Struthio camelus: one gene and its partner. The protein of the gene in region 1 binds, or shares a complex with, the protein of each later gene. Links are inferred from orthologs where the notes say so. Each region holds a gene or a part of one and is shown in the gene's direction. Other genes may lie near its edges. The genes, in order: F2 and F2RL3.

Region 1 (7,474 bases):
AAAGGCAGCAGCAGGCTGCAAGGGGAAGCGGGGCAGTTCTCTGGGTCCTGAAGCCCTCCCTGCTTCACTGCTCTGTGACAGCTGAGCTGTGAGCGTTACCGAATCACAGACTCACAGAATGGTTTAGGTTGGAAGGGACCTCTGGAGATCATCTAGTCCACCCCCCCACACACTCAAACAGGGTTATCTAGAGCACATTGCCCAGGATCACGTCCAGGTGGGTTGTGAATATCTCCAGGGAAGGAGACTCCACAGCCTCTCTGGGCAACCTGTTCCAAATCCTCAGGGACAGAGCCTCCGGGTGAGAGTGTAGGGTATTCATCTTTTTGTAAATGTACCTAAAGCGTTGCAATTGCTGATCAAACTATGTAACTCACCTCAGGAGCATATTCAGAAACATCCCAGCTTTTGAACGAGCAATCTATATTGGTCGCAGAGCAGACAAAGGCCCAAGAAAATAGGCTAAAGTCAAATCCTCTATATGCTGCTCCCAGGAAGTTGGAAAAAAAGTTACATAAGAAATAAACAGTTGCAAAAAATTTCCTCACTTAAAAAAAACCTCAGTCTATATGGAGCAAAGAATCAAAACTCCCAATTGGGTTGAAAACCATGCCTTTGGGAGCAAAAAAGGTACAAATCTTTATTACTCTATGACAGGAAAACAACATCCTTCACTCATGGCATAAGCGCAGAAAGAAAAAAAAAGATAAAAAGTTGCTTACAGGAAAGGTGAACAGAGACACAAGAGTAAAATGTTTGAGGTGTGGAAGTCAAAGCTCCTGGAGAAGTGATAGCTGATGCACGCTATCCTGCTGCAGAGGCTAATCACAAGAATGTGTGGGGGAAAAAAAACCAATTACTGATTTAAGCTAAAGTTTGTCTTTATTAAGACAAACTTTATTATAGAGAAGACAGAGAAACGAAGGAATGGAAAAAAAGCGTGACTGAGTATATTGAAAGCTCCTATGAAGGAAAAAATTGCATCATTGGGAACAAAGATAACTATTAATAACAATCTTGTGTTAATCTTATCTTCAATAGGTAAAAAAAAAACCTGAGAGTATCCCATTCCAAACTTACAGATACTGAACTATGTAAATTATGGGCTTGCATATGTATGTGGATTTATGAGTACACTTTACACATTTACAAAAGGTGCTATACAATGTGAGGAGAGCTGAATTGCTGGCAAGCTCACATAAACCCTCCTGTGAGAGGCCTAACTATAGGCCCAAGTACAAGGCCTTTGATATCTCTGCTACCTTCTTCACCATGTCACCAGTAACACTAACAAGGGATCGGTAAAACAGTCAACAAATCACAGAAAAGCTATTCACCACCAAGGTTATGATCAATCAAATGTAATCCAAACATGAACCAATTGTACATATATATTTAAAAAAAGGAAAAAAAAAAGTTCTCAGAATATGGACCCTTTCTCCCCTTTGGCAAGGTGGATCAAGCCCTGTCTTTCTGATCAGAGCAAGTCTATGGACTGTTCTTCCGAGTACAGGGTGGTTGAACAGTGGCTCCTCTCCTTATACCAATTGTGTTTTGGCCCACTTTGTGGCTGCGCGCAATGCACCTCCTGCTGATTACAACACCCTGCTGGGAGATGGCCCCCCCCCCCCCCCAACCTGCTCCAGGAGCCCCTGTGAGACCAGCACAGAGGTGGCTGAAATCAGGACAACTGAGCTGGGAGACGGGCATCTGCGGGGCCAACTACTCACAGGAGGGTTGCGGTTCTGCTGGGTAGGCAGCGTATTAACCACATTGACCCCATTGCAGCAGGTCAACACGCTCCAAGGGGAAAAAAAAAAAAAAAAGATCAGAGCCTGAAGTCTACCCAAAAGCACCGGCCAGATGGAAAGGCCTCACAAAAGTGTTAAAATTAAGAAAAAAAAAAAAACCAAACAAACACGTTAATGCTGGATCTGAAGTACTGCGCCAGAAGTTACAGCAGCCAAATGAATTAATGCGTCAGACTACAGGCTCCATACGCAAAGTAAGTATTACCTGTAGAACGGATGCCCAGGAACACCTCCGTCTTCCTCTACGCGCCCGACCGGCTGTCACAACGCACGCTGAAAAACGTCAACGCGCGCAAGGGGACTTGGCAACACCGGCAAGCCCTTCTTCATTGGACGGCATGGGAACGACATCCACGCACCAATTAACAACTGAAAAGCAGCCTGACCTCGTAGCAATACAAGCCTTACATCAGAATCAACACATCATCCAGCCAGCCCACAAGGCAAGTAGCTGGCGCCGCTGCTGCCCAACGGTGCGACATCAGCGGCAGTTTTAGCTCCAATACTACTGCTATTCTACACCCCTTCTCGTGCCCAACGTTAGTTCCACTTGCTGCTACCCTTGTATTATTAATTGCAGCAATTGTGTCATAGATAAGAAGCTTTCCAGCAACCAGAAAGCTTACCGATGTAACCTGCAAACTACAAAATCTTCAGGAAAGGGCAACTGTGCGAGTGCATCACGGGGTGGAGCGTAGCGGGACCAGCCGGAAGACCATTGTGCACCAAGGAGTTAGAGATCCACGGAGCAGCTGACCTGAGGAGGCGCAGGCCTGTGCTGTGCTGCGCTGCACATATCACTTGGCCGCAGGATAAGCTTGGCTGGCTAATTAGAACAGAGGACTCTGCAAGCAGCTCCCGCTTGGTGCCTGGCGATGATGCCATCGACACGTTCTTGCCTCTGTCTAAAAGTGAAGCAGCATGTTTTCATGTGAACGTCCTTTTGCTCGACAGTAGAAATGACGAACAGAGCTGTTTACGTCTAAGAACATCCTACAAGAGCTTGGAAAACCCACAATGCCGGTGAACCTCACCGTGGATGGGATCTGTGCAGTGTGTCACACACTGACTAAAGATCCATCCGATGCTACACAACTTGGGTTTCCCACTATCTAGAGAGACATAAGATCATCTACGCTATCCCCTTCCTACTTCTTGTGTCAGCTACAATAAACGTTGTTCTAATCAATACTTTACGGGGTCTGAGTGCCTTTCTTAATGGGATCTATAACGAACACTTGCACCGGTGCATTACACCTCCATAAAATATGGCAGCATCTGTCTCTCTCATCACTGCTATAGGGGGTGGTGGTGGTGTCAGTCTTCCTGTGATGATATTTCTGTGCCCTGCATTCACATCCATATGGACTTGCTCAGGCATGACCAGCAGTCCTGAGGTCATGTGTCCAACCTGCAGCATGAGCCAAAAATCAAATCATCACATAGAAAACACATAGGTGTGTCCTTGCTGCTATCCTCTGCTCCCCAGGCAGCTGAGCCTGCCAGCGGGGCCTCCAGAAGTGTGGAGCCGTTTGCACCTCCCCTCACAGAGAGAAGCAGTCGTGACTGCTACGTGAGACATGAGACAGCAGCAGCCCTGATTTCATCACTGTTCAGAAAACTGTTTGTTCAGCGATGCTTCCTTCCTGCCCCAGCCTCATAGCGGCCCCTGCCTGTGTAACCCTCCTTCCATAGCGCTGCTTCCCTCATGCAAAGTAAAACAGGGTGTTTCTAGGCTTGTGGCTAATCCTGCGCACACCTGCTCCTCCACCTAGGTCATCTCAGCCATTCCTAAAAACATCTCTCCAAAGTCCGGGTGAGGAAGTATGAAAACAGGGAACGGTCTTAAACACGGGAGAGAGTCTGTGCAACTGCTCTTTGTACCAGTGGCCAGAGAGTCATTCCTCAGCTACCCTAATGCTAATATTTGCACATCTACTATGGAGATAAACATTACGGATATGTCTGCTGCACGGAGGCACAGCACAAAACATGCTCCCTGCTGGCAGAAAGCACTTTTGTGCCATGTGGCAGTTCCTGGGACTACCCTCACCTTGCCCTGCTTTCCGCTGTTTTCTCACAGTGAGAGAACAGTGCCATTTTTTGCTTGTTGTAGGAATCACTAGAGCTTTCTCAGGTCAAGTAGCCCAGTTCGTGGCTTATTCATTAGCTGATGTCATGACACTCAAGATAGTCCTGCCTCCCTATTCCTGGAAGCCCTTGTTTTCCTGGCTGTTTCGGGCTTGCATGTTCCTTGCTTGGCAGAGCTTCTGTTTCCTTTTGGATTTATTTTAGTATGTTCCACTGGTGTGGGAATAAAAGGGGGGACCCAAACTTCACTGCCTCACCCTCCTCCTGGGAATCTTAATGCAGTGGGAAGTATGCAATGAAAATGGCCTTGCTGACCTAACTGGGAAGAACATTTAAATTCCACAAGGACTGTAGCAGGCACTCCTGCTCCTTGGCATGGGTGAGGGAGAACAAGGGGGAGACAAGCTGGCTCTTTCACGCTGCTCTAGTGCCAAAATAGCTGCGGCTGAGCTTGCTGATAACTGCAGGGAGAAAAGACAACAGGACTCCGAAGGGTGGGCTTGTAGCTAAAAAGAGGACTGGGATTGGCTAAGCTCTCCAAGTCTTGCTGCGCCTGAGGCTACTAAAGAGCCCAGACTGTGAGGAGACTCAGCTGCAGGGAACCAAGCCAGGGTGGTGGGGAGGCTGCAATCCTGCCAAGAGCCAGAGGATGAGCAGAGTGAGCTGCTCTGGTAAGGGTGGCTGTGAGCTGGTAGAGACCTCTCCAACCCAAATTCTCCCGATACCCTGGGACAAGCTCATCATCTTGCTCCTCATGTCCTCTTCCCTGCTATGAAACGGGATACTAACTCTACTCCTGTTGCAGGGGGTGGGGGGAGGGGGAGACCAGCACACATCCAGAGATGTTTTGTGTTATGGTGTGGTTTCTGCCAATGAAGTATGAAAAGGAAGATACCCTGAAGGGAAGGAAAAAAGCCAAAAGAGGAGGGATAAGAGGAGCCTCAGCCCCACTGTCCCTGACACACCACGACCTCTGGAGTCCTGTTTCTTCATTCTGGTTCAATATTAACCCAGCAGGGCTGTGACTCCGCTTATTCTGTTCCCCTTGCGTTTCCCCTGCAGCCAGGGCTGTACAGCATGGCGCACAGCAAAACCAGCATACTGAGGGGCCTGCTCTTTTCCAGCCTTCTGCACCTCACATTGAGCCATGACGGAGGTAAGAGCCAAGGGCCCAGGGAGGAGGGCAGTACCAATGGGTGATGGAAGGAAGCAAAAATGTGGTTATTTCTTCTCAAGGGTAAAGCCCGTGGGAGATTCTCTAGGTAAGGCAGGGGGAGTTTCTAAAAGCTTTAAGTTGGGAATTAAAGGGTGCAGACAGTGGTGTGAGCACAGGGCTTTCCTGAGGAGGATGCAGCAGCTTCCAGCTGCGGGCAGGAAAGCCTAGTGACAATAGCTCAGTTGATTGTGTGGGCCACAGGGGAGATGGCAGGGAAGGGGAACGTAGCTAGGTCCAGGATCTTGCATGGCTCAACTATGGGCCTGTTTGGGCTAGTTAAGTCAGTTGACTTGGGTCGCTGCAATTCTCCATTTCCTCCTCTGTCCACCCTTATCTCCACTTCTGGTCATCTGCAATACACAGCTGTCCTACACTCACTGCTCCTTATCTTTTATTACAGTCTCTTCTCCCTCTATCTTTTCTTAATCTAAGCCCACTACTGTGTGTGGGAAGACCTGTTTACAGGGCTGAGATTAGGGTCTCTGAACATGAAGACAGAACCAAATTGCACCTTATCGCAGCAGTTTGAGGTCAGCAAGACAGAACATAGCAGTTGGCACAGACCAATAGCAAGCTCAGGCAAACAACCTTCTCCCTAATGGCAAACGAGCAGAGCTGCCCTGCCAAGGATAATGGAAGATTCCCCTCACTTCTGAGGGGAATCTACGTGATGACAACCCTCACAGCTTATAGAGACTGCACTGATCATCAGGTGTGGACATGGGGGGTTGCTGCATGGTGGAATGGGGGTGGGGCTGGGCTATGGGACCAACACACTAGCTGAGTGCGATTTTTGGAAACAATAAGGGGAGACAAAGAGGCCCTCTCACTGCAAGCATCCCATTGACTGGCCCTGTTCTGACTTGGTAGTTTTCCTGGACAAGAGGCAGGCACTGTCACTGTTCAAGCGCCCACGACGTGCCAACAAGGGATTTCTAGAAGAGATGCTTAAAGGCAACCTGGAGCGAGAGTGCCTGGAGGAGATATGTAGTTACGAGGAGGCCTTTGAAGCCCTGGAATCCACTGCTCGCACGGTAGGTACAGGGCACATGGGTGCTCCTAAGAAACATTCCCTCAACCAGCTCCTGTAGCGAGAGACCAGCATGCCACACACACAGCCAGGGACTGGGGGGTTGTAAGACACAGTGCTGAGAGATGAGGCTGATGTGTGCATGTGCCCCTGGGACAGCTTAAACTTCCTTAGGGAAGCTTGGATTCTTTTCCCTCCCTCTTTAGTTTAAGGACAAAGTGAAAATGAAACAGCCTTCCCTCAGCCATCAGTCAAGAACTGCACCTTCCACTTCAGCATAGTGCCACACATCTTCAACTGCCACAGCCCCCAGTGGCCCTCCAGGACACTCACAAAACAGCTGGCTTAGCAACCAAATACTGAGTGCAGGTGCCTCAAGACCCTTTGAGCTTAAGCTTTGGCACTGTCCCTTTTTCTGGCTTCTGGACTCGCTCACTGCAAAATTTCTGTTGGCATCCTTTTAGGAAACGCTCCTAGCCCCAAGATCAGTATTAGTGTTGAATTCCGCGTTCCAGAAAATACAGTGGTAAACAGACGAACGTTTGAGAGTTCAAGCCAGTAAGGTACAAGCTCTACAGAGCATTTCTAATGGAATTGCTCTCAGGCATGAGAGGTCTGACAGACATAGATCTAAAGAGCTGAGCAATACCTGCATACTATCTGTGGCCTCCGTTTCTTCACTACTCTAGAGCGTCCTCTGCCTTTTACCAGCCTTTAGAAGTTCTAGATCCAATTCCTTGGACTTCTGTAGAGTAGTACAGGCTTTGTTTCCTCTGCACATTGATAAGAGAACCACTGCAAGCATCTCTGGTCTCTTGCAGAAATGCCAGGCCTCTCTATCAGTCTGCTTAGTCTCCAATCCATAAAAAGTGATCAAAGTCTCTTCTTAGATGATCTCTGGCTGAATTAACAGCCTAATATGGATAGCAAATATTCCTGCACAGTAACTGATCTTTGGTTGCATTGAGTTTGCATCTCTGCATTTTTTAGGCGCGGTAATTTTCCTTGGCACATCCTGCCTGTTCTAGGTCAATACAGAGGCTACAAAGACCAAGCGCAGGCTCAGGACACATTAACAACCAAAACGTCTTTCATAGAATGGTACAGACTCCTGCAGACATTAGGTTAATCCATCACAGGGACACTGCTATATTGCAGTACTGCCTTTTATCAGTAAAAGGCATAAGGCAAAGCACATTATATGGTGGTGAGATAAAAACATGTACTTTGGGAGATCCAAGGCTGTGAATGGAAAGCAGCTAAGCAGAAGCCGTTATTGCAGCATTCCTCAACAGAGTTGTACCATGTCCACTTACCTAGGGACAG
Region 2 (7,435 bases), on another chromosome or scaffold:
TCTTGGAGCAAAGGCCTGTAATCAAATGAGAGCATGGAAGTCCATGAGGTGGCATAGTTGCTCCACGTGGAGATTATAGGTTTCAAAAGAAAACATTTTGTAGTGCCAGCAAAGCATATCTTGCTGCATATCGGTTATTTCTAGCAGCACCTTGGCTATGAGAGGTGTGAAAATAGGGTCCAGGCCTAGCCCCCAAGTACTCACACGCTAAATAAAACAGACATTCAAGAAAGTGACTGATTCCAGTTCTGAAATCTATAAGCACATCTGCTACAGGTTAAGACAATACAACTGCAACCATGAAAATAACCCTCCACCCGCATTTCCCTCAACCTCCCTAAATTCCTGGGTAATAACATGTTTAACTGTTCCTGCGAGCTCTGCACAACAAACAAATGTGTAGTTTTTGCAAATTAAGCTGTAGTGATGTGACCCAGATCTGATAGGAGTTTCCTTTACATCATTCTCAACACTTCCGTTGCCATAACAAAAGGCAACTCCACTTTCTGTTCAGAGTATTACTTGCTCACAGGGAAACAAACTGTTGTTCTCCTAATAACAATCCTCTGATGCATAAATTGTATGGAATAATTTGATAAAAATGATGGTAGTGGTGTCTCAGAGGACACAGTATGCTTTGCACAAAAGTCTCCTCTTGGAGATCTTGGACTTCTCTCAAAGAGAATGTCCCCCGGGCTCCAAGGGAGGCAATAGGCCCTGTGAAGGGACAGCCAGATCTGACATCACCCAAGAGCAGTTGGAGATCTCAGCAAGTGGACAGATTTGGCAATGATAAAGGACAGCTTAAAAATATCTTTCAAGTTTGCTAGATGGAATAAAAACTAATGGTTTTCTAAATTCAATTAAGAAATGCTAAAGGGAGTACCTGAATTCTGTATTTCATATCTCGGGACTTTTTTTTACACATCCTCATCTCACAATGACGCACACAGAGAAAGAGAGGGACTGTAAACTAGTGAGACTGTCTAGAAGTATGTGTGTGTAAACATGAGTTGAGATTTTCTTCATGCTTCAGCCATTCCTTTGGAGCAGAACTAAGTAGCTTTACCATAATGAAACCAGAGATACCCTCTATCTTCCACTCATCAAAACTAAACTTTTCAGTCTAGCAATTCTACTTATATCTGTGCTAAAGGATGAATCCAAGATGACAGAATCGCCCTAAGCTCAGCGCTGAGAAGGGATGAAGGTGTCTGTGTAACGCAGGGTAGCCCCCCCCCCCCCCCCCACTGTCATTATCTTCCTAAGACCAAAAGAAGCTGTTCCAGAACATCATCTAGTGAACTGTAGTGATGCTAAAAAACTTCAAATATTCCTGAATAATGGCTTCATGTGGACTTTCTATACTCTGAAATGAAATTGCAGGCAGAATAGTAATTCTGAAAAAAATTGTCTCCCGGGAAGCGTTATACCAGCATAAGGCTTACAAATGGTGAGGAAACAAACACAAAAGGTTTGGGCTTTGGGAAGTGAAAAGTTATGGGTGGGATCCCAGAGGAACAGGAGACCTGTGGGACAAACAGATGATGAGAGAGGCAGAGAGATTCCCCAGAACTGTGCAGCATCTCAGGGTGACAATGAGAGACGCGACCAAGTGAGAGGAGGGGGAGTTGGTGTGATGGTGAAGCCAGGAAGAGTGGCCAAGGCATGAAATAATCCTGCACACGCCAGAGCCTGCAATACCTCTCTAGCAAGGCAAAGGCAAATCTGGGTTGGGGGGGGGGGGGGAGAGGAGGGGTGTCCTTCTTAAAAAGATCGTCATTTCTATTTATAGCAATGGTCAGTGGAAGCTTCCTATGCCTTGTGGTTCTGAGAAGGCTCAGACACCAGCACGCTCAGTGGCTAGGAAAGGCAGGATCAGCCTTGTGTTCATGGAAAATGTGAGGTTGTGCTGACACTGGTGGAAATGCTCTATGCTGCTAGCTGTAAGGCAGAGCCTCTGCCACCATGGCCGGCTGCCTCTCCTGTCTGCATCGCGAATGCGAGCTCAGCCTGGGGCAGGTGTTAGCTGCACTAAGATTTCTATCTTGACACCTACTGGCTTGCAGCTGAGGAACTTCCTGGAGCCCCTGGAACTGGGTGGGAATAGCAAGCTCTACGAGGAAGAGGCTATTTAACTTCCAAACGCTGATCTTCCAAGCATTAAAGATGTATGTTTGGGGCAGGCCTGGTGGTGTTTACACCCTCCTTCCCTAACCTGTTTTCCAGCCTTACATCTTTCGGGTTCAGAGCCATGGAATAAAAGAGTGCCTTCTCCCAGGGGGTGAGCTATTGCACAATGAATTGCATTAAAACCAAATTGTTACCCCACAGGGCAGGGATCACACGACTTAAAGAGATGTTAACAAGCCGTGACAAACCTCTGGCATTAGAATTTTCAAGCAAGCTGTTCTGCATCTAAAGCAGTCACTAAAGATCACACAGCATCTGAAAAATGAAGGCTGCAGCAATGAGTAACCTCTCTCTGCTCCACTCCAGAGACCTGGCCATAGGAAGCAGGGCTGTGATTTGCACACTATCTGAACCTGATTATGTCTAATTTTTTGCATACAGAGCATGGAAAGGATCCTGGCTGAGGCATGGAAAATATGTGGCCACATGAGTCATTCTGTAATGGTTCATAAATCCTGAGAGAATCACAAAAAGCAAAACATCTAACGTTGCATCTTCCCTGTCCCTGCCAGTGGAACTCCACCTCTCAACACACTCGGCACAAGGATGTGGGAATACAGCAAAAGCAAAGGAAATAGAATCATTTTCTCCTTGGAATAGAGGAATCTCATCAAACAGCAGCCAGGCTCAGATTTGCAACCTTCACAGAAGAGGCCATTCATAAGCCGAGCAGAAAGAAACGAACTATTGCTCAGGTTGCCAAACCAAATTTACAGTTCCTACTGCCCGGACTCCAGCTTCTGTGTTTACTCCCTTGCAGAGCCAGGCAGGAGACTGGAGAGCAAAAGCCTAAAACCCAGCAGCCTCTCAAGCTATGACCTCTTGCCTGCCCACTTGATTGCCGGGAAGTGGTCATGCCGGGGCATTTACAGAGGTGCTGCGAGAGGATTTGGGATTTCCCCAGCAATGCTGTGCCAGGCAGCTGGCAGAGCATGGAAGGGATCTGCACTCTCAAAGAGTTAAGGAACGGGGATCCAAGCAGCAAAGGATGCTAAAGGTTCAGGTAACATCTGCCAGTTCAAGGGGCCCTTCTTACAACCCTGCATGGGTCGTCCCCATACAACAAACAGATATGGTGTTGCTCCAAGGTGTTAGCTAGCAAGGAGGCGTGCTCTACCCTCTTGGGGGTTTACTGGGTGGAGACTACACATCGCTGGACAAATACAGCTCTCCTCAGGACAAGAGTGGCTGAAATTCACCATTATCTGCCCAGCAGCAGACACATCCTGTGGGCTCTTGTCTGGCCCCTTTCCTGCTGGATGGAGCTGCTCTCCCTGTTCCTGGTAGTTTATCAGTGGAAGCACAGTCCCTCTGTTGAACCCTGAGACCTTGACAGTTATCGTTCATTTGGTACAGCACTCCAGGCTGGTGCTAGTGCCGATTCTCTCCAGTGCAAACAACTCAAGAGTCAGGACTTTTAATCAACCTCTGCAGTGAGGTCAAGAAGGAAGACGCAGGAGCTCTGTCCCCTGTCTAACCAGGGAGCAGGAGGAGAAATAGAGGTGAACACTGAAAGGCCCAGCCTGACCTGAGGGCTGCAAAGGGGAAACTAAGAACCATTAACTGCCACAGTGTGAGGCTGCAGGAGCCCTGTGTAACCCTAATCCCAGGGAGCTGGAGAGGTCTGTCTGGATCTGAAGCTCCCCTGCACTTCTTTTATGCTTCTGTGAGAGGATGATATCTTGTCATGTCATCAGGAAACTTTTTGAAACAGGGTGGTGGGGAAAGACCTTGGATCTCCCATGTGGCCACTTGGATCTCTCCCAAGAGTGGGTGGCGAGGTGCTTGGTGCAGATCAGAGGTGTTCAGGGACGGTGGGTTTGGTTTATTCGCTAAACCAAATTCAAGCTGCATCAAACCCGGCCACATGTGGCATTTCCAGGAATATTCTGGAGGAGGAAGGAGGCTCAAATGAGTCACTTAAACCAAGGGTTCTCTCTGACATACTGTGGATCTGGATACATATGCCCCTCCCTGGCCCTCAGCTGACGCAGGAGCTAAGCATCTGCTTAGACAATGCAAACCCTGGGAATGTCGTGACAGCCTGGTGCTTCCGCCAGTTAAGGACTGATAGAAGGAAATGCGTAAGCAGGGTCAGTAATACTGCTGTCCTCACGCAGCTCAGAGCACGGCAGTGCGTTACCGGTTCCTGCTCCAGCATGGAGACCCTCAGGAACAGACGGCTGTCACACAGGCTTATGCTGTGCTGCGCCTTTTGGGGACTCTGCTTGGCCTCTTCAGACTACGATGGTGAGTGTATGTATTTGGGTGAAAAATTCCTTCTTAAAGTACTGGATACTTGGTATATTCATAAGGTCCCTGAAAATTCATTTTTGTGAAGTTATCGTATGGATGCACACTCTAATTGAGATGGGTGCAGACTCTAATTGAAGCAGGAGATGATAGAAGATACTTATGGAAGAGAAGAGAAAGAAACTGAGGTGGGACAGCTTAGAGGAGGAGTAAAACAGGGAGCACTTGAAACCAAGCCTTCAGCTTAAAGTTAGGCTCCTGCAGCCACAGCTTTCCCTGGGGCGGGGGGCTCCAGACCTGAGGATTCTTCCGAAAGCTGCCTGGAGGAAGCGCTCTCCAGCTCTCTAGGCCTGCTGAGAATTATATGATACAAAAATCATTTGTGAATTGTGGGAAACCACACAACAGAGGAACGGTGTAAGTTTGCACGGGCTTGCAGAAGACACCAGTCAGAGCAAGTCAGGCCTGAAAAAGAAGGTAAAAGGCTGCTCGAGCAGGAAGCATTCACTTCTCTCAGAACGGATCATTTGGTCAGGACAGGCTGGTTACTGATGTTTATCCCTGCACACTTGATTCTGTCAGTCAGTTTTTTCTGACCTTCATACAGTTTACAAAATTCTCTCACTTCTAGGGACCCCAACATAAAATGCAAAACCTTAGTGGCTGGGGTAAGTGTTACACATCCAGCCTGCTCTGCAAAGTGCCAGTCCCCAGGCAACTGCCCAAACAGCAAGTAACAAGACTGTTTGCCTTGACAGATTACTCTCAAAACAGCACCGAGCAGGTAACAACATCAGAGAACACACCGTGTCCCCGAGCCATTCCTGGGGAAAAGGCGATGATAGACAACACCACGTACCTGATAATCCACGAGGCCTCCCGCTCCCAGCTGAGAAGCATGGTCACAGTGCGGCTCATCCCCTGCCTCTACACCCTCGTCTTCCTGGTGGGGCTGCCTTCCAACGGGCTGGCCCTCTGGGTGCTGGCCACCAGGGCTGAGAAGCTGACCTCCACTGTCTTTCTGATGAACCTGGCTGCAGCAGACCTGCTGCTTATCCTGGTGCTGCCCTTCAAGATTTTCTACTATTTCCTGGGGAACAACTGGCCCTTTGGGGAAGGCCTGTGCCGGCTCACCACAGCTTTCTTCTATGGGAACATGTACTGTTCAGTGCTGCTGCTCACGTGTATCAGTGTTGACCGGTACCTGGCTGTGGTGCATCCTTTCTTCTCACGCTCTTTCCGCACCCCTGCCTTTGCTGCCTGCATCTGCACTGCCATCTGGCTCTGTGCTGCCATCCTCACCCTGCCCCTGACGCTGCAGCAGCAGTCGTATCCCCTGTATGGAGCAGACATTGCCCTGTGCCATGATGTTCTCCCCAGGCATGAGGATGACGAGTATTACTTCTACTACTTTGTCTGCCTGATTGTCTGTGCTTTCCTTGCTCCTCTGGTGGTGACACTGTTCAGCTACTGCTCAGTATTGCGAGCCCTCCTGGACAGCGGAAAGCGGTACTCCTACACTATGAAGCTCACTGCTCTCGTGCTGTTCACACTTGTAGCCTTCTATACACCCAGCAATGTTCTCCTCCTTGTTCACTACTCCAGCTATTGCTCCAAGCTGTATGGTGACCTGTATATCAGCTACATGGTGAGCCTGGCCATCAGCACCTTTAACAGCTGCGCTGACCCCTTTATCTACTACTATATTTCTGAAGACTTCCGGGATAAGGTGAGGAGAAGATTCTTCAATCGCAGCAAAAAAACCACCACATCCTTGAAAACATCCAAAGAAACACTCCCTCCAAAAAGTTCCAAAGATTCACCGGCGTGAAGCCTCCATCCCAGCTCCCCACTCCCAAGGCACTCACAAAAGATGGTGGGGTGAGACAGAGACAACGCTGAGACTCCACAAGTTTCATCCAGAGCAGAGAGCAATATTTTCTAGGAGACAAATCCTGGTGAGGAAGAGACAGGTTCTTCTGTTTGTATGCTAAGACTGAATTAACTTGGGCCATGGGCTTTCCTGTGAGGTATGCAGTCCAGAGAAAATGTGGAGTGCTGAACACGTACAGATCTGTTATGGGGACACCGTATGCAACTTCTCATCTGCTCACGTACTGCCAGTGGCACTCCTGCCAATGTAGCTAGGTTTGGTTTTCTTAATGCATCTTACAACCTGGTTGCTATGCGTGTTCTATTCCTTTCTCTGCTATTGCCTTGCTTGCTGTCCTTGATCAGATATTCCCTTCACCTGAGCTGAAAAAGAACAGACACTTGCAAAATCAAATTTCTGAACATTTCAGAAGTAAAAGGAGATGCCTATGTGAAAGATACTCCCCTGAGCTAAAATATTATTCCAGGAGCGTGGAACGCTGGCTTCTCTAGCAATTACATTCTTGGCTTGTCTAGTAATTAACATCATGGTAATGTCAGCCCATTGTTGATAAGGAATGTAAAAAATCACATTCATTCATTCATTTCCATTTTCGAAGATGACCTTTAGCACCCACAATTACTCTGAGGCAAAGATTGTATTAATGAAAAAGGGTTTTTATGCCTCTTGAAGGGAAATATTAAAGAAGGAATTCAGGAAACCCTCACTCTGGAACTCCACGTTTCCTTTGTGCAACATCACAAGCCTTCTCTGCTGAAGCAGGTGACCAAGCTTGTTGCTCAGTCCAGGAACGTGTTGCATGTTTCACAAATTATAGCTAGCTTGTCCCTCAGACGCAGCTAGGGCACATCCCAGGGAGCAGCAAGGTAAAAAATGAGTGATAAACCTCCTGAGAGTCCTTGAATTCTTTGGTTTTACTGGTACAGGCATGACTTCTGTCCTCAGCATAACCTATGGATTTAGTTAGCTTAGAGCCTGCAACATGAATAAAGAGAGGCAAACAGGATTGTTTTAAAATCAGTTTTTAATAAAATATTTATCAGAATCTAAAACAAACCCTTTTCTGGACTCAGATTTGCTAAGATTTGTGTGAAC

The links.
Region 2: the proteins of F2 (region 1) and F2RL3 are in contact, whole or in part, in a crystal structure (PDB 2PV9), measured with the Mus musculus proteins. The link is inferred for Struthio camelus from reciprocal best matches to the Homo sapiens genes F2 and F2RL3. Residues at the interface, in NP_034298.1 of Mus musculus: Glu385, Leu386, Leu387, Cys388, His403, Tyr407, Trp410, Asp411, Arg428, Arg453, Glu454, Asn455, Leu456, Trp501, Gly502, Asn503, Trp508, Thr510, Gln516, Arg538, Ile539, Asp559, Ala560, Cys561, Glu562, Gly563, Asp564, Val585, Ser586, Trp587; in NP_032001.2 of Mus musculus: Asp54, Lys55, Pro56, Asn57, Pro58, Arg59, Gly60, Tyr61, Pro62, Gly63, Lys64, Cys66, Asn68, Asp69, Ser70.

The regions. Positions count from the first base shown.
Region 1 is NC_090946.1:39,725,450-39,732,923, reverse strand, and holds the start of F2 (prothrombin), read left to right. Parts: upstream 1-4,448; 5' UTR 4,449-4,573; intron 4,574-4,964; 5' UTR 4,965-4,979; coding exon 4,980-5,058; intron 5,059-5,988; coding exon 5,989-6,152; intron 6,153-7,474. UniProt on the Homo sapiens protein: Thrombin, which cleaves bonds after Arg and Lys, converts fibrinogen to fibrin and activates factors V, VII, VIII, XIII, and, in complex with thrombomodulin, protein C. Functions in blood homeostasis, inflammation and wound healing.
Region 2 is NC_090967.1:5,384,749-5,392,183, forward strand, and holds F2RL3 (proteinase-activated receptor 4), read left to right. Parts: upstream 1-4,214; 5' UTR 4,215-4,352; coding exon 4,353-4,443; intron 4,444-5,204; coding exon 5,205-6,277; 3' UTR 6,278-7,396; downstream 7,397-7,435. UniProt on the Homo sapiens protein: Receptor for activated thrombin or trypsin coupled to G proteins that stimulate phosphoinositide hydrolysis. May play a role in platelets activation.